Daphnia pulex: one gene and its partners. The main gene of each other region encodes a partner of the protein of the gene in region 2 in a complex. Links are inferred from orthologs where the notes say so. Each region holds a gene or a part of one and is shown on either strand. Other genes may lie near its edges.

Region 1 (7,038 bases), on a different chromosome or scaffold from region 2:
ACCATTAAAGTCAACCTGAAAGATGGTCGAGATTGTCGATGATGATTGGGGTACCTTCACCACAGTCTTGCTGCCGTCCTCGCCCACCTGTCAATTCAAATAAATTCCCTGTTCCTGACCCTTCTCCGTTTCTCAACATGGATGGCGAACATTTATAGTATTTGTGGCATCTCGGACGCTACTGTGAGGGACTATCTCGAGCAGATATCGCTCTGACCAGCTGCGACGTCAAAAATGCTACGATACAGGAGAAATGCAATCGGCATTGCAATCCATCGCCAACCAATCGGCAAGGATATGTTGAAAATCTCAAACTTACGATAATGCCCTGAGGTCCAAAATTCAGCAGTCTTTCGCATCCGTAATAGTACGCCCAGCATGGCGAACTGCTTTCCTCGAAGCACTCATCGGCGGTTCTTCGAAGCACTCGATTGAGCATTGCGAATTCCTTTTTGCCATTAAATTACGGCTCACAGCTCTGGAAGCCTTGTGCTACTCTCGTTGAAAATGAAGATTGATGATTGAAATCGGTAAACACAAATACGATCCAGTCGATGTCTTCTACTGATCTGAATCAGTTGAGTGGTTTCAGACCTTTATCACTTTTACCAAGTCGGTTCGTCCTTCCCCATTTTTTTCCCTCGTTTTGCAACAGTAAAGTAGCTGTAGCTGTCCGTGACTGATGACGCGCAAGAATCTCAGATGATGGCTTTTGCTTATAGCGTGACAGAAAATGGACGCCGATCGCAGCGAACCAGTATAGGACCGAGTGAAAGTTCCGTCACTGCATTTCTTTTTGCTATAAAAAAACAAACAAGACAAAGACAAAATAGTTCCCGTTAAAGGACTCAATTCAATTCATGGCTTTTTTCATGCTTGCGTAACATAAAAAGCGTATGAGGGGTCCTTATCGGCGCAGAAAAGATTTAAATGACGTAAAATATTATATTCTAACCATCAAATTTTGATTTTCTACTTGGTAGTCTAGTTCTCACAGAATTGCGTACTTTCTCTCCAGGAATTCGTGTAAAGATAACTAAAAATATTTTTGATTTGTTGCGGGTATAAACTTTTTGGCAAAGATGTAAGTCAGCAGGGAAGAGCTAAGCCGATTTGACAAAGAAATTTATTACAGCCTTTTTTTGGGGGGAGGGGGGATAAAGACACTACGATGACACATTTTCTTTTATAGACCATCAAGTCTGTACAGTGAACTAAATATCTATTATACGATAGCCTACTTTTCTTGAATTGTTTTGCGGAGCGACAAATCATCGCCGATTCTTAAAACCAAAGGAATTGCTTATGGAGACGTTCAAAAGAACTGTCGAAGACTATACTAGAGAATAGTACATTGTTAATATAAAACTGTTCTTTTTTGTGTTGAGTAATTTGGGAGAGAGAATAGCCAGTATTAGGCTCTTTTTTTGTGAAACCCAATATTCGAAGAACACGGAACCATTCCAATCGCACCACTCTTAACCCATTTTAAAATTCACAATTATATTTTTTTTTTGCTCAATACCTGGAAATGGATGAACCACAAGAAACTCGTTAGCGTGTCTTGTTCTCCGAAACGTCATCGGCCAAAAAAGGTAAAGGTGGCCTCTAGTTCCAGTAACTTCACGGGCCAAGTTGACCCAGACCTTCCTCGTTAAATCAACCGCAAACCACAAAATGATTCAGGTAGTCAGGCTGATTCTGATTCGGCCGTCATGATTGGCGTGGAGAACAAGATAAGCTGAAACACCTGAAATTGCGTCCACGGTTTTTCTTTCTTACTTTGGTTACGCAAAGGTGATCAACAATTCTCAAGAAATTGGGGAAAGAGCTGTTTTGTTCTGTACATGCCTAAAGTATACGCCGTACAAATTTTTGTGGTGTTTCTAGAATTTTATTGGCAGCTTTTTAAACAACCTCCATTCGTGTCTGCTCGTAATTTAAATGCCATCAAACTGATTGACTTAATTCAGAGCTTCTACTTCATGGAACCCAAATAGACAGAAGTAATTCATAGCAGCGCATTGACGGTACCGGTAATGTACCGAAAAGGAGGCCGACGGTTGGAATTACAAAGCGGGTGCCATACATCAGCAATTTTATACGTCAAATTCAACATCTGGTCTTGTGAAAGACAAAGAAACAAAGTAATTTGGGATCCTGTAGTGCAGTATCACTTCAAGATACCATATAAGGCAATCTTCAATTATTCGTTGAGGCCAAAAGAGCTAGGAACCATTCCTCTTGCGTTAATTTTGTACAGTAGATACGATACTTGTGATGGTAGTACTATGCCATACTTATTTACAACCAACAAGAACAAAGTTATTCGATTTTGTAACCTGTCGATGATTTAACCCCATAAGATTCGGTTAAAAATTTTGTTTTACAAATGGTGACGTGTACAACCTACAGCGGTACGCATGCTGTCAATAGCTATAGCTATAGTTTAAACTACGATCACTAGATTAACTACTAAATCTGAAATAATTACTAAACATTTTTCTCCCAGAAAGATTACAAAGAGCAAAATTAAAACAAAAATAACTAGGAGAATAAAGCTGAATAAAGTAAAATACAAATACTAAGCTAAGACTAAAATTTGCGCTTTCAAATATCAATAATTATAAATTAAAAACTGGCAACAAAGCATGTTGTTGTTTTTACAAACTGGGGATTCGTTGATCAGCGACAGGAAGAATGGATTCTAAACACGAAGCTCTGAAGAGAAAAAGAATTAAAAGTGATGAAGCGTCATCAGACAGCGACACCGAACCGAAGAAACCTCTCTGTAAATATGGTGAAAAATGCTACCAAAAAAATCTGAATCATATACAGAAATTTCGGCATCCTCACAGAGACAACGTCGTCGTTAAACCTAAATTAGAAGTAACTATTTCAAAGAAAAGAAACTGTATTAGTTAATCAAACATGTTTATAATTATAGGATGAGAAGGGGGAAACAACTGATGAAAGTGTGATTGCTTCAGGCTCAACTGAAATTGTAGAACAAAAACAAACTGGGATTGACGATAGCAATAATCTCTTGGCAAATCAGGAAAGTGAGCCCCAGAAAACTAAATTGGAAGCTGATGATGAATTGCCACCTTCACCTGAAGATGTGAAGGAAAATATAAAGCTTAAGTTCCTTGTTGACATGCCAGATGATTTTTATGAGTTCTGGGCATTTTGCCAATCTATCTGTTCAAAAAATACTTTAGGTAAGCTACATAAATTAAGGTAATATACAATTATTTAAATTCTGAGTTAATGGCCATCTTCAGAAACATTTAAGGATTCTCTTGGACTAGAATTAGTTGGTCCATTTCAACTACTTGAACAAAACTCAAACAGAAGTAAACCAAAGGAAAAATGCGGCAATTCATTGACACAGTGGCGATTTTATTATGATCCACCTGAATTTCAGGTAGAAACTAAACTAAAAAAATGATCCTATTTCCAGATTATAAGATCTTTAACTTTAATATCCTATTTCAGTGTGTAATGATTGATGACCTAAGCAAAGGATTTCATATAGGGTATTTCCGTGACGTCCCAAATGAAATGCCAATGTTTGTTGGTTCCAACACGGAATCAGAAGGCTGTGTTTTAACTCCCATGAGCGATAATCTCTTCTCTGCTCTAAGGTATGCATGTATTGAGAAAAGAAAATTGAAACGCGCAGACACATCACTCTAGGTTATATAATTAATTACATGTTTATATGTAGTCAGATCATATCTGCGAGGATTAAGAAAGCCGACCCGTTTAAAAAAAGCCAACTGGCTACGTTGAAAAAGCAATTAGAAGATTGGGCAAACAAAAATGATATCATAATTGAGCCCCAGAGTGAGATTGTAAAAAAGAGAAAGAAGCTCATGGTTGCTAAGACGTTTTACGAATGTGGCATTGTGGTTCCTGTAGATAAAAAAACACAAGTTGGTTATAGAAAAATACCAGAGACAGATGGTAAGAAGACTTCTTTTCATGTTAATTCATGTGAATTAAATACCGAAACTTATTTTTTTCTCCTTCCTCAGCTAACATAAAAAAAATTTGCAAAAAAATTGTTGAAAGCCCAAATTTGTCTGAACAAAATAAGAACAGTGATGCCCTTCAAGAATTGGTGACTTATGTGCAGTATGCTAACGATGAATCGGACTACGGAATGGGCTTAGAGCTTGGATTAGATTTGTTGGCCTATGGAGGAGATGTTTTCCATCCAACATTACTTCATCTACTGAGCGTTGCTTACGAACTGCTGGAACGCCATGAATTCACCGTTATTCTCCAGGTAATCCGATAACAGTTATTTACCTTGTCTTATTAACAGCTGTATAATTATTTAAAAAGGCACACATGAAAGAAAGACGGCGATTGGCCAAGAACGATGCCGTAAAATAGATGCACTTTTGTACGGTATTTGATTTCAATTTAATGATTATTTCATAAAATGTCTGGAGTGAAGAAATAAATATAATTTTTCTAAAATTTTGTATATTATTTCTTCTCAGACCATCATGATCAGGATACCATTAAAGATTTTGTGTGCCTTCCTTTTTAGGTGCAAACTAAAGCGAAGATCCCCCAGCAAGTTTTGAAACATTTGTTAGTATGGATTGGTTTAAGAAGAATTATTTCAGTCTAGCAAGTAGCAACCCTTGTCTCGTTTGACAAGACTCGCGAGCATTCTCGAAGCTGTTGCAAACAAAAAAATAAATTAAATTAATCTCCGATTTGAATGTGTTAATTTAACTAGATCGAAAAAGAAATCTAGGGAAACGAAATCAAGAATTCAAGATGACTGCAAACTACTGTAAAGTAATCAAAGAAATAGAAAAATTTAATTAATTACCTATTTTTACAAAAAGAAAAAAGAAAGAATTTCGGGTCGCCATAATTCGTCATCGTCATCGTCATCGTCTGCCCATAGGGGGCTAAAATGCGGGATCCGCTGTGGATGCCACCAGGGGGCACCACTGGATTTCAAATAGTCATAGGCTAAAGTTGTGCAAGTTTATCTAGATTTTTATGCTTGTTTTATTTTAAAAATAGGCAATAATGAATTAAATCGAATTTTTATATGCAAAAAAATTAAGAAAATGTTCCTGTATTCTGAAACATTCACGCATAGAAAACATCAAACTAACGTTAAAAATAAAAATAGACGTTAATTCCGAAAAAATAGTCGGCGGATTGTCGTAGATAACTAGACATCCTTTAACAAGTTATAAAACCACGCTTCAATCAGAACCTCTGAGAATCTAATTATAATTAGGATTTTGCAAATAAAATAGGGTCTTATACATGTGTATACGTTTATATAAGAGGGTACACAAGATACGGAAGCACATAGAACGGTCAAGTCCATCAAAGCATGTGATATTAAATATGATTATATGCGGTTATATATTATTGCATATAATTATATATATTTTAATATATAATGTTATATATAAATATATAAAGTCGTATATGCACGTAGAACGGTCACGTCCATGAAAACATGTGATATTAAATATTATTATATGCGGTTATATAATATTGCATATAATTATATATATTTTAATATATAAATGTAACAATATAATGTTATATATAAATATATAGTCGTATATAAATTCAAGGTATTCTCCTATCAAATTAAAGAGATAATTTTCCAGAGGTGACATGAAAATATAATAACTAAGCACCACGTATTTTATCTTGAACGGATCACATCATCGCACTCATAAGTCATAATGTCAATATATAGTTTTAAGTATTTAATGCATTACACCAATTGCATTAGCATTACGCTAGAGCTAGACATTCAAAGATATTTGTACTACCATGTTCGAACCACAAAAAACTGTAGTGGTTGTTCGAAATGCCAAGTAGAAGTCAAGCGGCTCCCTCTGGTGGCCGATTCATGATTTCCACAACACATTCCGCAGTTTAGTCCCTAAAAGACGATGACGATGACGATGACGATGACGAATTATGGCGACCCAAGAATTTCCATGTCAACTTTTCACATATTAATGCTGCTGCTTCATCCTTCGTAATTCGTATTTAAAAAGTTGAAAATATTTTTTATTCCGTTCATTTTTTATTGCATTGTAGAAATTGCGACGTTGCAGTTAACTGTTTCACGGGATAATTGACGTCTTAACCGTCTAATCCATCTCATTTATTTGCTCATTGACTTTGGTAGAATTTGGACCTCACCTCGTACTAATATCTAATACAGCATATATTCACACATTTTCACCAGCGAATTATAGGTGAATTATAATATTAATTATTATACAAAACGCGTGCTGTCCGCATGGTGAATCTGTCCATTCACTGACTGACACAGTGACACGTAATTTATTAATAGACGACGTTCATTGTTGTAGACTTCAGAAACCTGTTGCATGTGTCTAAATTTCTTACTATTTTATTTCTAAAAATTTTATGTGTTTGCTGTTTAAGTTCACCGTAAGCATTATCTTAAATTACAATTATTTGTAGGACAAAATTAACCTGAAAGCGAGGATTGCAGACAAAATCATTTTTCAAAATGAGACGAGTAACTCAGCGAGCTCCAAGAAGGATTGTGGATCGTAGCAATGGAGAATGGGATGAATTTGACCCAAGATTGAATGATTATACTGTCGATAACTTTTATACTTCAGGACCAGGGTTACATTTACCTCCCAATATGCCTTATGCTATGAGGTATGTGTTATATTTAAGTAATTCTTTTTAAATAATTAATTGATAGAGTTCACACAATCATGATTTAAGAAATAGACTGTCTGTGCCAATACTAGTTTAAGATATGTATGTATTGTTAATTAGGAAAACTGCAGTACCCTACAAGCTCTTTGTAAGCGGAATCCATTCTCATACTACGGAGGTAACTTTTTAAGAAAAAAAAATGTCCTGTTTATACCATTTTCTTTACTAATAGGAAGGAATCAGACACATCTTTAGTAATTATGGTCAGCCACTGTCTGTATTCAGGACCAGGAACAAGTTTCAACAACCTATTGCATTTGTGGAGTTTGA
Region 2 (7,354 bases):
AGAGCAACACTTTGCTTTTTATGGAATTCGACAGAACTGATGACCCGTCCTTCTGCTCTAGTTTCTTTATTGATATCTAACATTCGCGAAAATTTAATTATTTCTTGCGGCAAAGAAATAGAATCCTTCCTTAAAAGATCTGTGGCGGTCTAGATATAAAGTGACAAAATAGTATCATTAAGAAGATCATGCAACTCCAGTTACAATTTAAGTTTTACTTTGGTCAGATCCTCTTTTTCATCGTCACTGTCCTGGTCTTTTTTTCCCTTTTTATTCTCTAGTTGAGCCCATTTAGGAGTAACCTGACCATGAATAGATGCAAACCTTTTCTCCAGGACCTGTTTGTATACAGTTTCTGAAGTGGCCTTTTCACCAACCAGTCCCTTTTCTTTTTGAAACTGTACATTTTTACACCTATTAGAATACAAATAAATCAATATAAAATGACAAACAATTATTTAAATAAATAGTGTGATATCTTACTTTAAATCTTCATCATCTTCATCAACCCAGACTGCTTGCCTTCCTGCTGTTGAACTTAAACCTAGATTTTTACCATAGACATCTTCTGGAAGGGAATCTTTCGCTTCACTAGATGCTTTGTTGGAGATTTGTTTTCTCAATTTTTTTTTTGAAGCAGAACTTTTGCTCGTATCTTTTTTAGACTGGGGTTCTTGTTCCAGTTTCTTAAACAATTCCCCAAATAGCAACTCTTCCAGTCTCTTTTCTTCTCTTTCCCTATAGTCAATGCCCAAGACTTGAGGTTTGGATTGTTTCAACTTCTTACTTTTTGGCTCCTCATGAAGATCTTCATTTTCATCAACATTTGGTAAATCATATCCATCCAGGGCTCCAAGATCCAACTGAAACTCTGTAGACTCAACTTTTAGTTGCTCGTCATTCTTTGCTGGTTTCGGTTTTGAACTTTTTTTCTTAAATGTGCGTCCCATCTTAAGTGTTATTTCTTCGTTTGTTGCACCTTAATAAACACGTGCTTGATGGCTTGGGTGCTTCTAAACTTGTAATTTTCAATTTGAACTAAATTCGTCTGCAACAGTCATTCCAAACTCCACATCCACTTTATCTGAAATAGGTAAATAGTGGGAGCAAATCCCAAGTTGGCTAGACTGGACAAGACTGGACTCGCCAGGGACTCGCAGGCTAATGAAGACTAATGAAGTAATTGGTTAGCGAATTAACCATAAAAATAATGAGGTAATATGATTTATTACTTTTGTATATTATCAAATAGACACCAACGAAAATTTCTTCTGAATCTTGATTTTATGACTTGTCCGGCTGCATTCTAGTTTCGCGCATGATTAGTAGGCCTACAGCAACCTACTAATGTATCCTACCAAGTTACATTCCCTCTGATATTTTTCAATGAAAAAAGAATCTTAAACTCTACGATATGAGACTTTAATTTTTTTATTTCCGTTGGTGAATGAAATATTTGAAATAAGAATAAGAATAAACGCGCAAACATCTACAGATCATAGAATTGGAATTTAGAAAAGTGATTAGTTAAGAATAGTGTGTCGATCATAAATATGTCGACGTTGTTCTTGAACAGTTTTCTTCCACTTATCAGTAGTTTGGCCAACACGGTTGAGCACACCTGCTCCACTTGCCCTTAAAGGTTGAGAATGGGTTTCACTTTCATCCTGTAGGATAAATTAGTTAAAAAGATGATTGAAGGAAGAAAAGGGAGAAATTTATAGAATACCTCTTCATTATTATGTTCTTGATATTGTGTAGTGGTTTTCTTGTTGAGAAGGGGATCAAGACAAACAAGAAACAGCATGTATATGACTAGTAGAGATATTATCCAGATAACAATAATTACAACAACCTGAAATTTAAAAAAATTTATATTAGAATAGTCTACAATACATTATGTCAACAGTTTTTTTGCCTTGATTGTTGTTGTGTTCCTGCTTTCGTACTTGCATTCACATCGTGGACAAAATTCTTTTTCCTTTCCTTTGATATCATCCCCTACCCTTGGGAGCACAACATTTGTACAATCACATTTGTTAGGTGGAACATTTTCAATGTAAAGTTTTCTATGTGACTGAGTTCCGTTTACTACGGCGGTATCTGGACAAATGCACTTGCATCTGACATCCTCATACTGTGCATTCACCTATTAGGACAAAAACAAACAAAACCAAAATCATTAAATTTCTAAGCAATGTTTTCTTAATAGTAAACATAAAAATCAATACATCACTGATGAATGAGAAGATGAAAAGGACGAAAAAAGAAAGAAAGAAACTCTTTCGAAGTGTCATAATTGCAGCAAAATCCGATACTGATTTGTCGGAAACAAAACAGCTGACAGACTGTCGACCACAGCTTGTGGCGCCAACTGGTTTGCTATTTAAAAAAAAAAAGAAACATTGTTTTTGTTCAAAGAGGAAATGGGTCGTTAAACATGTATTACAGCAATAAAAATTTAAACGTTACTGTGGAATTGAAATTTAATTACTTATTCTTTTTAGTTCTAAATAAACTTTTCTCCATTTTCGCCACTTAGGAGCCCCCATCTGACAACACTGTTTTGTTCCTAGCGCGCCATCTCGAAATTCTACTGTTACCTAAAAACGTGCCCAACTCTGTCGGCTGCGAAGTGCGAACTGCGAAGTTTGGAGGACGTTGTACTCGAAGTAGTGGAAAAGATTGTGTTAAAAGAATCAAGAATTCAAACTATCTGAGTGCACTGGAAATTGGAATATATAGGTATGGCCCATTTCAATCTCATTTAAAATTATGAACTGCTAATGCTAATTGTGTTTTTTTTTGTGATTTTTCCGAAATCCCAGAAATCGTGGGACGTTCATTTTCAGAAGAAAACGATGGCGGATGATTTACCTTTTCGAGCAGAATATGCAAAGACGGGTCGAGCTAGTTGCAAGAAATGCAAAGAAAACATTCCTCAAGGCACTCTACGACTTGCTGTAATCTTTCAGGTAACATTTTATTTTTTATTGTTTGGTTCTGGACTTTGTACACTAGTACAGTATTGTTGTTTTAGGCTGCCAAATTTGATGGGAAAATGGTTTCGTGGTACCACTTTGATTGCTTTTTTGAAAGGCAACGGCCCAAATCAGCTGGTGACATTGAACATTTTGATCAATTGCGCTGGGAAGATCAAGAGAAAATTAATCAGATGCTCAAAAGTAAAACATTACTAATATTGCTATACATTGTATTTAGTTGATTTCTAACTATTTCCTTTTTCCAAAGAAATCAGTGAAGGTGGGATTGCTGAACCAAGTAAAAAAGGAAAAGGCAAGGGGAAAACAGCTAAAGTTGCTGAACCCTTTTCTGATTTTCTAATTGAGTATGCAAAATCTGGGAGAGCTGCATGTCGAGGCTGCTTAGAAAAAATTGCAAAAGTATTATAATCATTAAGTGCAAGTTCTAAAACGATCCATGTTCAAACATGTCTATAATGTTCAAATTGTAGGATGAATTGAGGATATCAAAGAAAGGATACGACACCAAAGGAGGCATGAGACATGGACAAATGTTGGATATGTGGTACCACGTCAAATGTTTTAAAGAGCGACGAGAAGAATTAGAATTTGTTAGCGGAGTGGATACAATCCCTGGATTTAAAGATCTAACTGCCGACGACAAAAAAGTTCTCTCAAAAGAACTCCCTGCTCTTTCCGCTAAGTATTGACAAGAATCGAAATTTGGAAAATCATGTATTATAACGGTTTCTTTTTTCAGCAAACGAAAAGTTGACGGGGATGCTGTCGACGGACCTTCGGATGCAAAGAAGATAAAGAAAGAAGAAAAAGAAAATGAACAGCTCAAGGAAGAGATCAAGAAGCAAAATAAAATTCAGTTTAAATACAGAGACCAGTTGGAAACTCTGACAAAACAAGAACTCCAGATTCTGCTGGAATACAACGATCAGCAAATTCCTTCTGGAACATCTGAAGTACTTGCACTTTTTATTAATATTTTTATTTTCTTCTGAGTGTTAATCAATATGTCGCATAGTTAAACTATATGCAGCTATTTATCTTTTTAGATGTTGGACCTTCTTGCCGATGTAATGGCGTTTGGAGCTTTGCTTCCATGCAATGAATGCAAAAGTGGACAGTTTTTCTACAAGTGATTAAAATAATAGAAATTTCAAGTCGGTAAGCCTTACCTATATAGATTTACTTCTTCTTCTACAACAGGAGTGGCATGGGTTATCAATGCTCTGGAAACATGAGTGGCTGGACGAAGTGCCCCAACTCGACAACAACTCCCGAAAGGAAACCATTCAAAGTTCCATCGGACCTCTCGGAAAATTACTCATTTTTGTAATAAGGCTGTTGTTGCCATACATTAAGTTACTTTCTAAACTTCATTCTTCTATAGGAAAAAGTACAAATATGTTCCCGGACAGAGGGTAATCCCAGCGCTAACTCGCACTATTCGTATGAATCCAACCGAAGAAGTGAACGTGAAAAAAGAAAAGTAGCTATTTACTCAACTAGATAACGTGCTAGTTCTGTCTATTAATGTTTTCTTTTTCTTTTAGATCCGATTCGAAACGCCCACCCACACTAGAAGGCTTGAAATTCATTCTTGATTCCAAGCTTGAAAAGTCTAAAGAAAAAGTCGAAGCTGAAATAAAAAAATTACTAGGTTCTGTAGGTTCGCGCGTTACCGAAAAAATTGCAGCCGTAATTTCTACGAAAGGTTAGAAATTTGAGTGGGTAGTTTCTCTTATGAGATTAAGCCTTTATATGTGGTATTACTGTTTTACAGACAATTTAAAAGAAAAGGATTCAAAGTTGAAGAAAGCGTCTGAACTCGGTATTCATGTTGTAGACCTTAGCTTTTTGGATGCAATCAAAGCAAGCACTGGCGAATCTGCCTCATCCATTATAACGAAGAAAAACATCGCACCATGGGATTGCCACAGTGTAAATTTTTTTTCTTTTATTGCCCTAATTTTTGAGATTTTTTAAAAACTGTAATAAATCTAGATCGAGAAGCGTCTTGGTTTGGACGAGTCGGGTGCCACGAAATCTTCTGGAAAATCGAAAGGCTCAGGTTGGTTGGACTGTTTATTACTTTTAATGTTTCCCAGTAAAAACTGTAGTATAAGTATGGGGGAGTCATACGCTTTAAACTTGCAAGTAAATCAAGTTCAAGGTCACAACTCAATCCTAAATTAATTGAGTCGTCTGATGACTATGAAGGGATCCAAGTCTGCCCTCATAGACAGATACGCGACTAACATATTTGTTGATTTATTTCACGCTAAAAACGAAGCTGAATCTCGTAACTAAATTGTGTTTTCGTTTGCAGAAAAATCTGGTTCAGGCATGTCCGATAAACTGAAGCTGAAACTTAAAGGAGGAGGAGTAGTTGATCCCGATTCTGGTTTGGAAGATAAAGCACATGTCCTGAAGACGAAAAATGGTCTGTACAGCGTTGTACTTGGGATCGTTGACATTCAAGGTGGAAGAAATTCTTACTACAAGCTTCAAATTCTTGAACACGACAAAGGAAACAAGTAAATTGGCTTCGCTTCCCCCAGTGGCAATTGTAGATAACAACTATAATTTTTTTTTTTTTTTTTTTTTAATTCGACAGGTGGCATGTATTCCGTGCTTGGGGTCGAGTTGGTACAACGATTGGAGATACCAAGCTAACTAAGATGGATACCAAACAAGAAGCAATAGAGGATTTTGTTGCTCTGTACGAGGAGAAAACTGGTAACCTTTGGGAAAATCGAGATAATTTTGAGAAGCAGCCCGGAAAACTCTACCCTCTAGATATTGACTACGGAGAGGTATTTTCTATTTTTCTTGTGTCTTTTTGAAATTACGTAATGACATCAATTTTTTAAAATGTGATTTCCACACTTTCAGTCAGAAATAGATTCACGTATGACGATCGCCAATTCGACATCGAAGCTTCACCGATCTATTCAAGAATTGGTCTGCATGTTATTTGATGTCGAAGCTATGAAACGGACGATGGTAGAATTTGAATTAGATCTAACCAAGATGCCTCTTGGTAAACTGAGCAAGAAACAGCTAGAAAAGGCGTACGGGATTTTAAGTCAGGCTCAGGAAATGTTGGATTCGAAAGATGTATCGAAGACTAAATTCCTCGATATCTCGAATCAGTTCTACACACTCATTCCGCACGACTTTGGAAGAAAAACTCCGCCTGTTCTTAGCGATAACGAAATCATTAAGGTAATGGATTAACTCATTGTCCTTCCAGCATGATGTAGTATAATCTCGATTTGTTTTCTAGTCTAAACTGGAGATGCTTGAGAGCTTGATGGAAATCGAGGTGGCCTTCAGCTTGCTGAAAGCCGGCGATGCTGTTAAGGATAAGGATCCCATCGATGCCCACTATGAGAAGCTTAACACTGAAATTGAAGTAACAATATTTATCCCTTTCATGTTTTGTATTACGTATCATTGCTGATTTTTTAAATTATCTCTAGGTTTTGGACAAGTCTTCCGAAGAATTTAGTGTTATTCAAACGTATGCAAAGAATACTCACGCAGCAACTCATACTCAATATACTCTCGAAGTGGAAGAAGTAAGTAGAAGAGTTTAAGTAGTTTCACGCTAGGACTAGCAGTTAACTTTTTCGTTTTCTTTCCCAGGTATTCAAGGTGGTTCGGAAAGGAGAATCGAAAAGATTCCGTCCGTTCTCCAAATTACCCAATCGCAAGCTCTTGTGGCACGGATCTCGTGTTTCCAATATGGCTGGTATCCTATCTCAAGGGTTGCGTATTGCCCCACCTGAGGTAAAATTACATTTATTTGTTATATATTTGACTTTTTTCTTGATTAACCATTAATCCTTTCTTTATTTTGGGTGAATTTTGATAGGCTCCAGTCACTGGTAATTTCTTCTTGGCTACTCAACTATATCACGATGATTAAACTTGTTAATGCTTTTGTTGTTTTTAGGCTACATGTTTGGCAAAGGTATTTATTTTGCTGACATGGTTTCAAAGTCTGCCAACTATTGCGTCACTTCAAAGAGCAATCCTGTTGGTATGTTGTTACTCTGTGACGTAGCGCTGGGCAAAAGGTATAACTTTGTAACTTACACTCCCTCTAAATTTCTAATTGAAATGTTGATTTTGTAAATTAGTTACGAGCGCAAGGAAGCCGATTACATTGAGAAACTGAAAAAAGATTATCAAAGTGTTCTCGGAGTTGGCAAGACTGAGCCTAATCCCGATGAATTTAAGGTAATTAATTCAAACTTTGGTTTCGTACATGAATCGAGCACTAAACAGCTTATCGTTCGATAATAGATGTTGGGCGACGTCAAAGTTCCACTCGGCAAACCTGCTCC
Region 3 (7,146 bases), about 4.4 Mb from region 2:
TGTCGCGGTAGACGTCTCTTTCCCATCTCTCTCTTGATTCGATTCGATTCTCCCATTTTTCTCGCGGATTCCTCCGGCCTTCCATCATCTTCTTCTTCGGTCGCCAATAACCGTGAATTTCATTTCGACCAATATGAATTTTTGTTTTAAAAGCAGATCTGAAAATAAATCCAGCGGTCGGCAAGGGGGGTGAGGCCTACCGTTTCGATCGATACAATCGGAGGAACAAACGAATAGGAAAACTGGTTCCAACAAAGGAAAGACGATGCGATATCTGTTATGGATGTTATAGTGTATAGCTCTCCAGCAGCCGTTGTAGATCCTCTTGTTGTTTGTGTTTGACTCTCTTGTCGATCTCTATCACAAACAATAAGCCTAAGACGTCGTCCTATAGTCTCTCACCTTTTTATTTTTCAAACACGCGCGAGTCAACCGTTACCCAGAGTCAGACAGACGGGGGCTGATTATTTTATTTTTTATTTTTTTTTCCCGTTTATTATTTCAACGGGAAACTTTTCCATCGGGGGTAAGACTACATAGCTGAGGGATCCCAAAGTTTCGGATGGCATATCGAAAGGAGTTGGCGCTAATAAATATCGGATTGCGTTACGATGTCTTTTTTTCAAGCAGGAAGCGCCGGGCTTGAAGAAGAATGGCACTTTTTTTTTTCAATTCCCGCGGGAATTCACAAATCTTTGGCGCGCCATCGCATTTTCTCTAGCCCCCTTGACTATGCGCATTTGTTGAAAATTTATTAGCCGATTTTATTAGCCGGAGGGGGTTAGCCATTACTGTCGTCTATCACGACACCCCTACAGCGCCAAATCTTCTCCCCTCTTTGTTACACCGACCCATTAACTCCGGGAGTGGCAAATTTCTTTTCTTTTTTCTCTGAAAAAAAAAATGGATTGAACATGATGAAATTCAAAACGGGTGGTAGATATGGAAAGCAAGAGCGGAGCCAATTGCGCAGCATCCAATTTAGATGATGGACGCGGTACCCGCGCTCGCGCTGACATCCAACAGCGTGCAAATGAAATTAAAAGTATATACATACGCGCCAAGCGTCCCTCCCCTGGGCTATTACAGGCCAATTGGATTTTTCCACCCACCCTCCGTCGTTCACCAAGTGATGAGCTGCAAGTGAATCACGGTGAAGCGTTGCTGGTGGACGCTCAGCAGCAGCAGCAGCAGACGGCACCGTGAGAGAGAGAGTTGCCAGCAGTAGTTTACAGGTTATTTCAATTGATCATGGATGGCCGACAGCGCGTGGACGTCGAGATGGACCAACGGGGTGTCAGAGAGAGAGAGAACTAGAGGAGATACTGTATATAGCCACTGGCCATGTGTGCGCGCCATGTCATCAAACATTTAGCGAATCAATAATGAAGGCGGCGAAATGGGGAAGATGGAAAGAAGGGGGCAAAAAAAGAGAGAAATGAAACTTGATGGGATTCTGCATTGATTATTGAACCGAGGATTTCAAATAATAGATGAAAACACGCAGACACACAAACATATATACGTCTACAACACATCGACCGGTTATTCTCTCTCTTTATTCTAGCTTTTTATTTTTTTCCCGTCTTTTTCTCATTTCGAAAAGAGTGGGCGCTGGCGCGCAGCTAAACGCCGTGAGAAAGGAATCAAATCAAACCACTTAGAGATATATATTTTTTGGTTGTTTCGTTTTTAAACTGGCGATAATCCTTTGAAGTAAAGGACCCAGATGTTGCCATACTTTCCGCTCTACTTGTTTCCATATTGCTTCGTGTGATTGTTCCAGTTGGGTTTTGATTTGAGCGAGCGGTTTTGAATGCCTTGGGAAATGTGTGGCAGATTCTAATATGAACGAAAAATGACAGTTGGGGGGGACGACGTGATTTTTTGTACGCCATCTGGCATCGGGAAAAATGGTCGTTCACAATTTTGCTGCCATCTTTGGCGCGGTTCACCAAGTGTACTCACCAAACCATGGACACATGGAGGAGATGGTTCCCACTCACCATGTTCATTTTCCCATAAGGGGTTATCCGCTCTTGAGTCGATCCATAAGAGGGCTGTGTTAATTTCAGGCATGTTGTCCCTAATCGAGATTTTCGACCTTTTCCAGACCTGGCAACTCAGCATCCTAACGTTGTCTATTTATTTTAAACATTAAAAATTGTTCCACTCAATTTTACCAAAAAATCTTTTGGAACTCAATTCGTTATAAGTATTGATAATACACTGAATAATTTTTAAATCAATATAACGTCTACTTTATTTATGAAAATTAATTCATGGGCAGTGTTTAGTTTACATGCCATTTACATGGCAACGTGATTACTCAGCAGACGATTTTTCAGTTTAGTTTTGGCGGTTATGTCGCTACATGAACACAAGTTTCGGTCTTAATTTTCATTGTTTGTAAAATAATTGTTTTGTTTTATAAAATGGTAACACCTTTCATGAAAGCAGAATTAACTGCTGCAGTTACCAGTTTGGGTTATACAGAAGGAAATAAATATTTCAAAGATCAATATTGCCTTGGTAATAATGGGATTTAATTGAGACCATCTCCTGCACCAAATGTTGTAATTTCAAACATTGCATTTGATTCTTTTGTAGAGGCCTTGAAGGATTTGATTCGCTATCTTCGAAGAGATGACGATACCATCGGAATCAGAAGAGAACTTGGACAGATGAAACTTGTTCAGACTAATCTGATACCTATTCTTTGTGAATATCACAGTGATGAAGCCTTGTTTGATGTTGCACTTCGTCTTCTCGTGAATCTAACAAATCCAACCCTGTTGTTATTCAACGAAGAGATGCCAACTGATAAAGTTGAGAGAAACTATTACCTGCAACATGTTGGCCATTTACAGAGTTACAAACCAGTTCTAGCATCTGATAAATTTTGGATGGTTTTAACTGATAAACTCAAGCTGCTTTTAGTCAAAGTTAGTTTTTAATTTACTCAGACTTACAAATAAATTATCCAGCTAAAATTATTCCACTCTTTCAGGAGCCAGAAGATCGAATGGAAGATGACAAGCTGTTAACAGAAAGAATTCTCATTTTGATAAGAAACATCCTAGATATCCCTGTTACACCTGAAGACGAAAAAAGAACAGATGATGACGCGAGCGTACACGATCAGGTATGATACAGACTTGATTAACGATTGACCGTTCATTCACAGTTTTCATTCATTACTAAATTAAATATTCAGGTGCTATGGTCCATGCATCTCTCTGGAATGGAAGATGTTATCATTTATCTCGCGTCTAATGAAAATGAGCGTCACTTTTGCATGCATGTTATGGAAATCATTTCTCTCATGCTACGTGAGCAGAATCCCGCTTCTCTTGCTCAAACAGCTGCCCAACGTTCGGTTGCTGAAAAACAGAAGGACACGGAAGAACTGGTAGCCATGGTCCAAAAAGAAAGCAGCGAACGGGAAGCTAGATACAAAAAGATGACCGCCTCTAGAAGTTCCATATTTCGTGGAACTTTCTGCGTGAAAGATGTCAAGTCGATCACTGACAAAGACCTAATCGTTCACCGAACTTTGACTGATGGTAAACCCATCGATTTCCACCAGAATAAGACAGGCAAAAGAAAAGCCAAAAACCGGATGCCTCTGCCCAGCTGCAATGTGACACGCAAGTCGACCCTCTCCATTCGTTTAATGCTGAAAGAATTCTGTCTCCAAATGCTGAATGGCGCCTACAACTCCCTGATGCACATCGTCAAAGACTGTCTGGTTCGTTTGAAAACCCAAGATCACGATGAAACTTATTACTTATGGGCCGTAAAGTTTTTCATGGAATTTAACCGCAATTGCGGTAAATTTCGGGTCGAATTGGTCAGTGAGACCATGTCGGTAAGGAATGATTAATTGTGTTTTCAATTACATTAAAAGGAATGATGATAACTTCTCTCTTGGTAGATTGGGTTATTCCATTACATCCAGAACCAGGTTCAAACTTATTCGGAATCAATTACGGTAGACAAGAAGAAAGCTGCTCTGTGGTCCCGTCGGCTCAATGTCGCTCTGTGCGCCTACCAAGAGTTATTGATGACGCTCAACGCCATGGATAAATACGGCTCTGAATCCATCCGCAATTCGTCTCGAGTCCTTAAAAGCAACGTCTTTTATGTGCCAGAATACCGCGAGATGTGCCTCGTTTTGCTCCTCAACTACAAAGAAAATCAACACTCGCTGACTTACCTGAAAGATTTGGTCGAAACCAATCACATCTTCTTGAAACTCTTTGAACAGTTCGCAAAGGGCAATCGTCATCTGGTCGTCCAGAACAAGTCAAAAGTGCCTCAGAAGCGGAAGAAGAGCAAGCCGAAGAAAAAGAAGTCGGAGGAGGAAGAAACGCCCACGCCAATTTTCGACGAGATTGCCGTGGAGATCAGCTCGGCCTTACAAGAAAAACCTTCTTTAACCGACGACGTTGTTCCCTTTGACGCCGCCTCCGATCTCCCGATAGATGATCAAAGGTAAACGAATTTTGGCTAGTAGCAAAGTCACAAATTACTACGTGAAAATTGTTGACGCAATTTATTTCACTATCAACGTAAATCAATTTTGTATAAATTTCACAATTGTATCATTTCTTTTTGTTGGAATGTAGGGTTATAGCCATGGGAAAAATCGTAAAACTGCTGAAAGAATCCAAATCCCATCTGGCTGTGGCTCTACTGCGGGCTTGTCGTGATGTTTGGCCGGAAGGGGAAGTCTTTGGTGCTCCTGAAGTGGGTCCAGAAGACGAGCTGCTTCTTTTACGCGAACTCTATCATACCGAATTACCGCGTAAGTGATCGTAATTCAAATTATTCACAATCATCGACTATTCTAGTTTACCATGGGTGGTTTGCGTTTTAACTCTTTAATGCGTTTAAGAAAAAAATGGAAAAGAACTGGTTGAGCAACTTGATGGATGACAAAGCTACAGCTAAAAAGAGCATTTCTTTCATTAGCTGTTTTGCATTTAAGAGTAATTTCCTTTTATAAAAGTCTTCATCTTAAAAATTTTGCCGTCCTTTTCCTGAGTAGATGTTGCAGGGGAGGAGCCCAATGCCGAAAGCGAAGAAGAAGATGCTGACAACAAAGAAACGGGTACTTGTTCAACTTATTGTACTGTTTGGTATTCAATAAACTTTATTATTTTTACTACAGCGGAAGAAGAAGAGGAGATGTCGACAGTCAGAAGGAGTGAAAAAGAACTTCAATTTGAAGAGTTTATTCGCAGGTAAAATTTATTGTCCTTTTTTTTTCTCTTTTTGAATGTAAAAATAATCGGATTCATTTCTTTGTGCCATCTGGGAATAGATTTGCTCACAAAAACGTCGTCAAAAGTTACTGCCATCTCTTGCGAAGTTACTCCACCAACACAACTTTGACGAACCACTGCGTGATCAAAATTCTCCACCGGATCGCCTACGATTGCAAAATGCCTGCTATGCTTTTTCAGCTGTCCATTTTCAAGACATTCCATAAAATCATGGACGATCCGCGGGCCAAAACTGAAACTACTGTCAAAGTGATTATCGGTTTATTATCATTCTATTCCGATTTACTACATTTAATTTTTTCTTTCGTCCTGTTTCTTTACATAACTTTTTTTTTTCAACTTTTCTTCTTATTGTGCAATTAGGAATTGTACAAGTTTGCTATTTACATCATGAGAAAATTTGCGGAAACGGCACAAGTCAACCCGAAAATCTTTGTGGAACTGCTGTTCTGGAAGACGGCCCGCGAGGCGGCCGAGATCGAAGTTGGTTACGGCAATGTCCAAGAGTAAGAAGCGACACGAAATACTCATTATTCATTTGTCATCTTAATTATTCGTCGAATTTAAAATTAAAATAATCTGTCCTGTTCTTGATCAAAGCCCCAGCTCGCGTTTCGGCTGGAGCGAAGAGGAAGAAGATGAATTGCAGCGGCTCCATCAAGAATTCAGAGACGTCCAAGAAGGGGGTAAATAACGAGCGCTTTTTTCTTTTCCTTTTCTTGTCGTGCTTCCCGGTTATTTTGACATCGAATCCGTCTTGTGATGTCCGAATGGGAAATAACTCTTGAAAAACTTAAACAAAAATCTCTTCCGTTCCCGCCTTTTCAGCCGGCGGTTTTTTTTATTTTAAAAAAGAATGGAGAGAACAACCCCCCTCTCTCTTATAGTTTTCTTCTTTTATTTCACGTGGGAAATGTTTGTCGCCCCGGGACCAAAGTGTTCAAAGGGCGTGAACCAAAAACAGTCCGTGAACAACCCAAAAAGTGTGTCGTGAGAGATATATTTTTTGCTGTGAGATGTCAGAGAAAAGAGAGAGGGGGAGGGTCCTTCCGGAAGCATCCAAAATTAGCCAACTCTTGACAGACGTACATGGGAGAAAACAACACGACGAGAGATAAGAGCAAAAGAAGAATAGGCAGGAGCACGTAAGTGCAAGGGAAGAATATAAAATCTAACGAATGTGTTGAAAACGTGAAACGCCATGTCCGTGACACGCCGCCGACGACCAACCAGATGAAATAGTTGCGCTCGTACACATTCCGCATGGGAATTTTTTATTTTTACAAAACTACGTCGCTCCTCCCATTTTTCTTACCCCCTCTGCGATCCTTCAGTTTTTTTTTCAGAAAACATGTTCCGTCAGCAGTCTATCCCCCAACATCTCTTTTTTTCTTCTTGACGTACTTAATCGTGACAGGATTCAATTCTTCGATCCCGTTCCTCGCATTCCTCCGTGTTAACGCGTATACATTTTCCACGTTCCGTTTCACGAGAATGTCCGTTTCTCGGGATTCCAAATAGGGGCAGCAGTATATTAGCTGGGTAGCGCCGATGAAGGAATCGATTTTAAGGAAAGGATTACTTATGGCTGTGACGAAGGGATTACGACACTGGATGGAATTTTCACGTTGCAACGGACCTGCGGTGTAGGTCGGGTCGTGTGATGAAATTTTCAATTCACATTTGAATGGTTTCCGTTGCGCTCACCTTATTGCGTACGAGTCGCATGCGTTAGCCTTTTAGCCTTTATTGAGGTTGTAGTCTTGTCGTTTGGTTTCATTTACTTCAATTAAATTTAATAGAAGGAGACGTCGTGGATCGAATCATGGCCAATCTGATCAATCAGACCCGCAGT

Evidence for each region.
Region 1: the proteins of poly [ADP-ribose] polymerase 1-like (region 2) and histone PARylation factor 1-like are in contact, whole or in part, in a crystal structure (PDB 6M3I), measured with the Homo sapiens proteins. The link is inferred for Daphnia pulex from reciprocal best matches to the Homo sapiens genes PARP1 and HPF1. Residues at the interface, in NP_001609.2 of Homo sapiens: Thr825, His826, Asn827, Ala828, Arg865, Met890, Lys903, Asn906, Tyr907, His909, Ser911, Gln912, Gly913, His934, Lys953, Ser983, Leu984, Leu985, Tyr986, Glu988, Thr1011, Ser1012, Leu1013, Trp1014; in NP_060337.2 of Homo sapiens: Asn234, Val236, Asp261, Arg264, Leu265, Phe268, Gln272, Glu273, Thr276, Phe277, Gln279, Phe280, Asn282, Asp283, Glu284, Cys285, Tyr287, Tyr304, Lys307, Val308, Gln311, Leu315, Leu319.
Region 3: the proteins of poly [ADP-ribose] polymerase 1-like (region 2) and protein timeless homolog are in contact, whole or in part, in a crystal structure (PDB 4XHU), measured with the Homo sapiens proteins. The link is inferred for Daphnia pulex from reciprocal best matches to the Homo sapiens genes PARP1 and TIMELESS. Residues at the interface, in NP_001609.2 of Homo sapiens: Gln846, Lys849, Pro850, Phe851, Leu854, Arg878, Ile879, Ala880, Pro882, Asn928, Lys940, Lys943, Gly944, His946, Tyr992, Asp993, Ile994, Ala995, Gln996; in NP_003911.2 of Homo sapiens: Asp1036, Gln1040, Pro1043, Val1045, Pro1046, Leu1047, Thr1048, Glu1049, Glu1052, Glu1053, Glu1056, Ser1074, Gly1075, Gln1076, Glu1077, Thr1078, Phe1079, Arg1081.

What each region holds. Positions count from the first base shown.
Region 1 is NC_060018.1:1,957,357-1,964,394, reverse strand, and holds histone PARylation factor 1-like, read left to right. Parts: upstream 1-2,625; 5' UTR 2,626-2,700; coding exon 2,701-2,889; intron 2,890-2,947; coding exon 2,948-3,221; intron 3,222-3,284; coding exon 3,285-3,427; intron 3,428-3,498; coding exon 3,499-3,647; intron 3,648-3,730; coding exon 3,731-3,969; intron 3,970-4,040; coding exon 4,041-4,294; intron 4,295-4,353; coding exon 4,354-4,404; 3' UTR 4,405-4,419; exon of another isoform or gene 4,420-4,564; 3' UTR 4,565-4,736; downstream 4,737-7,038. Other genes in the region: proton channel OtopLc-like, read right to left, coding at 3-87, 320-439; uncharacterized protein LOC124201785, read left to right, coding at 6,548-6,705, 6,829-6,886, 6,941-7,038. UniProt on the Homo sapiens protein: Cofactor for serine ADP-ribosylation that confers serine specificity on PARP1 and PARP2 and plays a key role in DNA damage response.
Region 2 is NC_060024.1:8,491,674-8,499,027, forward strand, and holds the start of poly [ADP-ribose] polymerase 1-like, read left to right. Parts: upstream 1-2,587; 5' UTR 2,588-2,745; intron 2,746-2,828; 5' UTR 2,829-2,861; coding exon 2,862-2,975; intron 2,976-3,040; coding exon 3,041-3,185; intron 3,186-3,252; coding exon 3,253-3,404; intron 3,405-3,475; coding exon 3,476-3,687; intron 3,688-3,744; coding exon 3,745-3,958; intron 3,959-4,051; coding exon 4,052-4,134; intron 4,135-4,205; coding exon 4,206-4,331; intron 4,332-4,389; coding exon 4,390-4,488; intron 4,489-4,552; coding exon 4,553-4,713; intron 4,714-4,782; coding exon 4,783-4,940; intron 4,941-5,003; coding exon 5,004-5,070; intron 5,071-5,328; coding exon 5,329-5,536; intron 5,537-5,616; coding exon 5,617-5,815; intron 5,816-5,894; coding exon 5,895-6,227; intron 6,228-6,288; coding exon 6,289-6,417; intron 6,418-6,484; coding exon 6,485-6,583; intron 6,584-6,650; coding exon 6,651-6,794; intron 6,795-6,879; coding exon 6,880-6,892; intron 6,893-6,960; and 5 more. Other genes in the region: U3 small nucleolar RNA-associated protein 18 homolog, read right to left, coding at 1-149, 219-414, 484-950; uncharacterized protein CG1161-like, read right to left, coding at 1,524-1,667, 1,730-1,855, 1,919-2,149, 2,232-2,297. UniProt on the Homo sapiens protein: Poly-ADP-ribosyltransferase that mediates poly-ADP-ribosylation of proteins and plays a key role in DNA repair.
Region 3 is NC_060024.1:12,851,657-12,858,802, forward strand, and holds the start of protein timeless homolog, read left to right. Parts: upstream 1-2,308; 5' UTR 2,309-2,435; coding exon 2,436-2,532; intron 2,533-2,610; coding exon 2,611-2,945; intron 2,946-3,010; coding exon 3,011-3,145; intron 3,146-3,217; coding exon 3,218-3,871; intron 3,872-3,937; coding exon 3,938-4,497; intron 4,498-4,631; coding exon 4,632-4,810; intron 4,811-5,053; coding exon 5,054-5,116; intron 5,117-5,176; coding exon 5,177-5,249; intron 5,250-5,329; coding exon 5,330-5,540; intron 5,541-5,654; coding exon 5,655-5,797; intron 5,798-5,891; coding exon 5,892-5,977; intron 5,978-7,093; coding exon 7,094-7,146. UniProt on the Homo sapiens protein: Plays an important role in the control of DNA replication, maintenance of replication fork stability, maintenance of genome stability throughout normal DNA replication, DNA repair and in the regulation of the circadian clock.